Linked DNA regions of Macaca fascicularis. The main gene of each other region encodes a partner of the protein of the gene in region 2 in a complex. Links are inferred from orthologs where the notes say so. Each region holds a gene or a part of one and is shown on either strand. Other genes may lie near its edges.

What was found.
Region 1: the proteins of PPARGC1B (region 2) and PPARA are in contact, whole or in part, in a crystal structure (PDB 3SP6), measured with the Homo sapiens proteins. The link is inferred for Macaca fascicularis from reciprocal best matches to the Homo sapiens genes PPARGC1B and PPARA. Residues at the interface, in NP_573570.3 of Homo sapiens: Ser154, Leu155, Leu156, Gln157, Leu159, Leu160, Leu161, Thr163; in NP_001001928.1 of Homo sapiens: Val284, Thr285, Thr288, Glu289, Lys292, Phe297, Leu302, Asn303, Gln305, Val306, Leu309, Pro458, Leu459, Glu462, Ile463.

The regions. Positions count from the first base shown.
Region 1 is NC_088384.1:5,378,375-5,382,185, reverse strand, and holds part of PPARA (peroxisome proliferator-activated receptor alpha), read left to right. Parts: intron 1-3,593; coding exon 3,594-3,754; intron 3,755-3,811. UniProt on the Homo sapiens protein: Ligand-activated transcription factor. Key regulator of lipid metabolism. Activated by the endogenous ligand 1-palmitoyl-2-oleoyl-sn-glycerol-3-phosphocholine (16:0/18:1-GPC). Activated by oleylethanolamide, a naturally occurring lipid that regulates satiety.
Region 2 is NC_088380.1:156,714,131-156,717,941, forward strand, and holds part of PPARGC1B (peroxisome proliferator-activated receptor gamma coactivator 1-beta), read left to right. Parts: intron 1-424; coding exon 425-489; intron 490-1,460; coding exon 1,461-2,271; intron 2,272-3,811. UniProt on the Homo sapiens protein: Plays a role of stimulator of transcription factors and nuclear receptors activities. Activates transcriptional activity of estrogen receptor alpha, nuclear respiratory factor 1 (NRF1) and glucocorticoid receptor in the presence of glucocorticoids.

The DNA.
Region 1 (3,811 bases), on a different chromosome or scaffold from region 2:
TTGCACACGTTAGGTTCAATCTGAACTATAAAGTTCTGTGGGTTTTCACAAATGCATAGTGTCATATATCCACCACTACATTTTCCTTCTCTCTCTTTCTTGCATTCTTGTCTCACTCTGTCACCCAGGCTGGAGTGCAGTGGCACAATCTCGGCTCACTGCAACCTCCACCTCCCGGGTTCAAGCCATTCTGCTGCCTCAGCTTCCCGAGTAGCTGGGACTACAGGCACGCATCACCATACCTGGCTAATTTTTTTGTATTTTTAGTAGAGATGACGTTTCGCTATGTGGGCTGGTCTCAAACTCCTGACCTCATGATCCACCCACTTCAGCTTCCCAAAGCGCTGAGATTACAGGCGTGAGCCACCATGCCCGGTCTCTCTTTCTTTTTCTTTCTTTCCTTCGTTCTTTCTTTTTCTCTTTCTCTCTTTCTCTCTTTCTTTTTCTATTCTATTCTATTCTATTCTATTCTATTCTATTCTATTCTATTCTATTCTACTCTACTCTTTTTTTAGATGGAGGTCTCACTGTGACACCCAGGCTGGAGTACAGTGGCAGCACAATCTCAGCTCCCTGCAGCCTCAGCCTCCCAGGGCTCAGGTGATCCTCCCACCTCAGCTTCCCAAGCAGCTGGGATTAGAGGTGCACACTGCCATGCCCAGCAAATTTATGTATTTTTTGTAAAGACAGGGTTTGACCATGTTGCCCAGGCTGGTCTCAAACTCCTGAGCTCAAGTGATCTGCCGACCTCAGCCTCCTAAAGTGCTGGGATGACAGGCATGACCCACCGTACCCAGACCACTGTTACATTTTCGTATGAATAGTCTCACCACATCAAAAAACCCCATGCTTCACCTATTCGACCCTGCCTCTCCCACCCCTAGCCAGCTCAGAAATGGTTCTTTTTACCGTTGCTATAATTTTGCCTTTTCCAGAATGCCATGAATTTGAAGTCATATAGTATGTAGCCTTTTCAGACTGATTTCTTTTATAACAATATGCATTTAAGAGTCATTCATGTCTTTCCATGGCTTGATACCTAATTTCTTTTTACACTGAATGAAGTCCCACTGTCTGTTTGTACCACAGTTTGTATATCTATTCACCTATTTAAGGGCATCTTGGTTGCTTCCAATTTTTGGCAATTAAGAATAAAGCTGGCCGGGCGCAGTGGCTCACACCTATAATCCCAGCACTTTGGGAGGCCAAGGGGGGCAGATCACTTGAGGTCAGGAGTTTGAGACCAGCCTGGCCAACATGGTAAAACCCTGTCTCTACTAAAAATACAGAAATTAGCTGGGCATGGTGATGGGTGCCTGTAATCCCAGCTACTTGGAAGGCTGAGGCAGGAGAATCACTTAAACCTGGAGGCAGAGGTTGCAGTGAGCTGAAATTGTGCCACTGCACTCCAGCCTGGGTGACAGAGTGAGACTCTGTCTCAAAAAAAAAAAAAAAAAAAAAAAAAAAAAAAAAAAAAGCTGCTCTAAACTTGTGTAGGTTTTGTGTGGACAGAAGTTTCCAAATCAACTGGACAAATACCTACGAGTGTGATTCCATCATACAGTAAAACTGCTTTGCTTTGTCAGAGACTGCCAGAATGTCCTCCAAGGGGGCTGTCTCATGTTGCACTCCCACCAGCAATGAATGGGGGTTCCTGTTGCTCCACATCCTCACCAAATTTGATGATGTCAGTTTTGTGGATTTTGGTCATCCTAGTAGGTGTGTGGTGACACCACATTGTTGTTCTCATTCTCAATGCCCCAATGACATATGATGCTGAGCATCGTTTCATATGCTTACATGCCATCTGTATATCATCTTTGCTGAAGTGACTGTTCAGATCTTTTGCCCATTTTTTTTTTCCTTTTGAGACGTAGTCTTGCTCTGTCACCAGGTTGGAGTGCAGTGGCATGATCTCAGCTCACTGCAGCCTCCGCCTCCCGGGTTCAAGCGATTCACCTGCCTCAGCCTCCCAAGTAGCTGGGACTACAGGCGCACGACACCACGCCCGGCTAATTTTTGTTATTTTTAGTAGAGACGGGGTTTCACCGTGTTAGTCAGGATGGTCTCCATCTCCTGACTTCGTGACTGCCCACCTTGGCCTCCCAAAGTGCTGGGATTACAGGCGTGAGCCACCACACCTGGCCGCCACACGCAGCCCCCATTTTTCAATTGAGTTGTTTGTTTTCTTATTGTTGTTTTAAGACCTCTTTGTATATTACCACATGTGTATTGAAAATATTTTCTCCCAGTCTGTGGCTTGTCTTTAATTTTCTTAGCAATGTGTTTTGCAGAGCAGAAGGTTTAATTAGCTTTCATAAATTCCAACTTATATTTTCTCTTTCATGGATTATGCATTTGGTGTTACCCACACAGATTTTTATACTGTATTCTGGTGCCATTTACTGAGTTGGCAATTGTGGAAGAACTGGAAGGAAAGAAGCAAACAAAAAGAGTTCTGTGTGGCACTGTCAGCGCGGGGGCACGGGGAGTCCTGCAGGGTGAGGTATGGGCGAGATGGTCTGGTGATGTGTGCAGCGGAGATGTGCGGTCCCCGGATGTGCAGATCAGGAGATGTGTGGGTCTGATGTACCGGTCTGGAGAAGTGCGGTTCCCAAGATGTGCGGTCCGGAGATGTGCGGGTACCCAGAGGTGCAGATCGGAGATGTGGGGGTCCGGAGATATGCGGATCAGGAGATGTACCAGTCCCGAGATGTGCGGATCAGAGATGTAGAGGTCCCGAGATGTGTGGATCCGGAGAGGTGAGGGTCCCAAGATGTATGGAGCAGGAGTTGAGGGAGTCCGGAGATGTGCGGAGCGGAGATGGGGGGATCAGGAGATGTGGAGGGCCAGGAGATACGCGGGTCCGGAGATGCGCAGATCAGGAGATGGGCGAATCGGAGATACGTGGGTCCAGAAATGTGCGGAGCGGAGATGTGCGAATCAGGAGCTGTAGGGGGTCAGGAGATGCACGGGTCCAGAGATGCGGGGGTCCGGAGATAGTGGGTCTGGAGATATGCAGAACAGAGATGAGCAGATCGGAAATGCACGGGTCCAGAGATCCACGGGTCCAGAGATCTGCGGTTCCGGAGATGCACGGGTCCGGAGATGCGCAGGTCCGGAGATGAGAATCTGAAGATGTGTGGATGGGAGATGTGCAGGTCCGGAGATGCGCGGGGCGGCGATGCGCTGATTGGAGATGCTCGGATCAGAGATGCTCAGATCGAAGATGTCGGAATGAGGAGATGTGCAGGGCGGAGATGTGTGGATTGGAGACACTCGAGTCCGGAGATATGCGGGGCGGAGATGCGTGGGTCTAGGGATGCGTGATCTGAGATGTGTGGGTCCGGAGCTCGGGGTCAGCTCAGCAGCAGTCGGAGCGAGCATGCTGGCTTTGGGAGCACAGCACAACGGCAGCTGTAGGAGTGCAAGAGGGTGTGACCCAGAGGCAGGGCCCGGCCCTGCATGGGTATTCTGAGGTTTACGCCTCAGCATTAGATGCCTCATATGCTAAATCACATCCTCGTAGACCCGGTTCAGACACAGGATAGTGATGCCTGGACTATTCATCTGTCTCTCCTCTTTTTCCCCAGACACGCTTTCACCAGCTTCGAGCCCCTCCTCGGTGACTTATCCTGTGGTCCCCGGCAGCGTGGACGAGTCTCCCAGTGGAGCATTGAACATCGAATGTAGAATCTGCGGGGACAAGGCCTCAGGCTACCATTACGGAGTCCACGCGTGTGAAGGCTGCAAGGTAGAGGGGACCTGGAACAGGGCCCGGTGGCTGCCACCATCAACCACTTGTGGTTAC
Region 2 (3,811 bases):
AGGGAGTTGGTTTTTAGAAACTAACTTTTGCAGGCCAGAGGAAAGTCCTCAGGCCATTTCATAACCTGTCCTCTTGGGGACCCTGAAAAGAGTTCTTTTCTGACAGTGCCCTGTGACTTTCAGCAAGTCCCTTCCTCCTTCTGGGCCTCAGTTGCTCCCTCTATAAAATAAGGAGGCTGACAACACTTGTTCTCTATTTACCCTCCAGTGAACCTTGCCTGTGTCTCCTAAAAGAGCTGTGCAGCTTGAATTCCTCTAACAGCCGGGATGGGGGTTCCCCCAGAGCAAATGCACCTCAGGCTCCATTTCCATGGGCAGCAGAGCCAGGGCCTGTCACAGCACGATGTGACCCTTTCGTGGGTGGGGAGGTGGATGCCTGATGCTGACTTGCTTCTTTCCTTTCTGTCCTCCCTGCCTCCACCAGCGACCCAACTTTTGGCAAGAAGAGCTTTGAGCAGACCTTGACAGTGGAGCTCTGTGGCACGGCAGGTGAGCCAGGGGGCTTCCACTGGCAGGTGCCTTCAGGAAAACACCCGTACATCTCTGAGTTTTTCATCATGCATGGGCAAGGTGCCACGTAATGAACAATGCACAAGATGCCTGCCTTCATGGGGCTTATGTTATAGGCAGTCAAAAAACAAACAAAAAAGGAAGATCGTTACAAATTGCAATAGATACCATAAAGAAGACTCACTGGGAATGAACCAGGATTACAGGCATGAGCCACCGCGCCCAGCCCCGGTGGGCAGTTTTACCTGCGGTGCCTGCCCCCTGTCCGTCATGGGAAACACCAGAGGCATATGAGAGGTATAGTTGGGAGGGTTTGTTGAATGATTGGATGTAGATCAGGAAGAGGTATTTGGAAGATTGGGAGGTTCCAGCTGCCATTAGTAGGTCACAGAAGGGATGGCAAATGGATTTCATCACATGCCAACTCCAAAGAATTGAAGGATTCCCAGGCTACCTCCAGGCTCAGCCAGCAGTGCAGTGATCAGTTAGTGATGCCTGCCATCCACTGGGTTGGGGGAGTAAGGGCACTTGGCCATTTTATTGCCATCCCAAACTAGGGTCTTTTTAAAATTTTATTTTATTTTATTTTTTCGAGACATAGTCTCACTATGTTGCCCAGGCTGGAGTGCAGTGGCACAGTCTTGACTCACTGCAACTTCCTGCTCCTGGGTTCAAGCAATTCTCATGTCTCAGCCTCCAAAGTAGCTGGGATTATAGGCATGTACCAACAAGCCTGGTTAATTTTTTTGTATTTTTAGTAGAGACATGATTTCGCCATGTTGGCCAGGCTGGTCTTGAGCTCCTGGATTCAAGTGATCCACTCACCTCGCCCTCCCAAAATGTTGGGATTATAGGTGTGAGCTACCATGCTTGGCCCCAAACTTAGGGTCTCAGTGTCCCTTGGAGAAGTGATCTGTCTTTATCTTACCTTTCTCCTCTTGCTTGGGCAGGACTCACCCCACCCACCACACCACCGTACAAGCCCACAGAGGAGGATCCCTTCAAGCCGGACATCAAGCACAGCCTGGGCAAAGAAATAGCTCTCAACCTCCCCTCCCCTGAGGGCCTGTCACTCAAGGCCACCCCAGGGGCTGCCCATAAGCTGCCAAAGAAGCACCCGGAGCGGAGTGAGCTCCTGTCCCACCTGCGACATGCCACGGCCCAGCCAGCCTCCCAGGCTGGCCAGAAGCGTCCCTTCTCCTGTTCCTTTGGAGACCATGACTACTGCCAGGTGCTCCGACCAGAGGGCATCCTGCAAAGGAAGGTGCTGAGGTCCTGGGAGCCGTCTGGGGTTCACCTTGAGGACTGGCCCCAGCAGGGTGCCCCTCGGGCTGAGGCGCAGTCCCCTGGCAGGGAGGAAGACAGAAGCTGTGGTGCTGGCGCCCCACCCAAGGACAGCATGCTGCTGAGAGACCATGAGATCCGAGCCAGCCTCACCAAACACTTTGGGCTGCTGGAGACCGCCCTGGAGGAGGAAGAACTGGCCTCCTGCAAGAGCCCAGAGTATGACACTGTCTTTGAAGACAGCAGCAGCAGCAGTGGCGAGAGCAGCTTCCTCCCAGAGGAGGAAGAGGAAGAAGGGGAGGAGGAGGAGGAGGACAATGAAGAAGAGGACTCAGGGGTTAGCCCCACTTGCTCTGACCACTGCCCCTACCAGAGCCCACCAAGCAAGGCCAGCCGGCAGCTCTGTTCCCGCAGCCGCTCAAGCTCTGGCTCCTCATCCTGCCACTCCTGGTCACCAGCCACTCGGAGGAACTTCAGGTATGAACAGGGGGCCGCAGGAGAGGCAGCGGGCAGTGGAGGACCCCAGTTCCCAGGGAACCAGGAGCCCCAGGCGGGAGGATCCCCGGGAAACTTGCTCTGAAACTGAGGCTGCATTTCCCTGTGTGGCCCATGTCCTGGTCAGAGGCCTTGAAGGTGGTCTTCTGGGGCAGTTGTGGGTGAGTCCTGGAGGCAGGCAAAGCCTGGTGTGTGAAATCGGGAGTGTCCCAAATATCCTGGCCTCTAGAAAGAAAGAAAACCCACTTCCTGGCTGTTTGTGGGCTTATGTCTAAAGGAACTTGTCCCTTACCCATCTGTGTTTTTTGCTTTTATATTTGTAAAATGGATAGGTTTTTGTGCAAACATACATGCCCCAACATTTGAATTCTGGAGATGTTTACATGTAAAAGAAAGATGAGTGTAATTCTAATCTGTGCTCCGGAAAATGCCTGGACAATAAAGCATTGATAAGGTTTCTGGGTCCTGCTGAGGTGCGCCGTGGCTTTCACCAGTCGGCTGCCCCTTGAAGGGCTTTGACCTCAGTGGAGGGATGATGCCTCATGAGCCCGCTTGCTCGTATCATCCTCGCTCGCTCAACCAGACTGGAGAAGAAGCCAGTCCAAAAGTCAGCTGGGGAGCTGGCCAGAAAAAAAATGGAGGTTTGGCAGAGTCGGAGGGTACTGGTCGCTTCTCTATGATCACAGTGGGTCCTGATTCTCCCTGGGGAAGGCTTGAGGAGGGTCAGTGTCGTCATCCCCAGCCCTGTGTTGAGGTGAGGCCAAGTGGCCACTAGATGCTGCTCTTGGGCTAGAGCCCAGCTGCAGAACCCGCTGCAGGATTTGTTGGGCCTCCACTGGCCGGCCCACACGGCCCACACCCGGGTATCTGATCTGTAGGTCTGGGGTGGGGCAGGGGCAGGGATTGGCGTTTCCAACAAGTCCCCAGGTGATGCTGATGACATTGCTAGAATATCATACTCTGAGACCAGAATTTAGGTCTTGTGAAGATACTTCTTCCCTTCTAAAGGGACTAGCAAAAAAAAAAAAAAATTTTTTTTGTTAAATAAAAATGTAAAAAGACTACAGCTTTATACACATCGACAACAAGGGCTTTTAACTGTTTGAAAACCTGATTAAAGCAAAGGCCCATCTTCCCATTAAAATGTGCATACACATCTAACTGGGCATTCAATTTTAGGGGGTTTGTGGGCTCTCCACAAACTATTATTAAGAAGCCCTAAATTTTTTGTTCCTCAAAGGGAGGTCTGCAGCAATTTCTCCAGTGAGCCCTTACTGTAGAAGCCAAGATTAGTCAGTCACAGCTGCCTTCTGCCGACTGTGCTGAGCCTCTCTTTCTGGCTCCGTTCTTTCCCCAGGGGGTAGCTTCTGCCCTACAGTGTTCCAATGTCAAAGGTTTGGCTTCAACCTTGCTTTGCTGTGAGCTAAAGCACTCCATCTCCACATTAGGCAGTGTCCCAGGTTCTCTTCATGTTGAAATACATCCCCCAAGCTGGAGCTTCCCTGGCCTCCTTTCTCTCCTG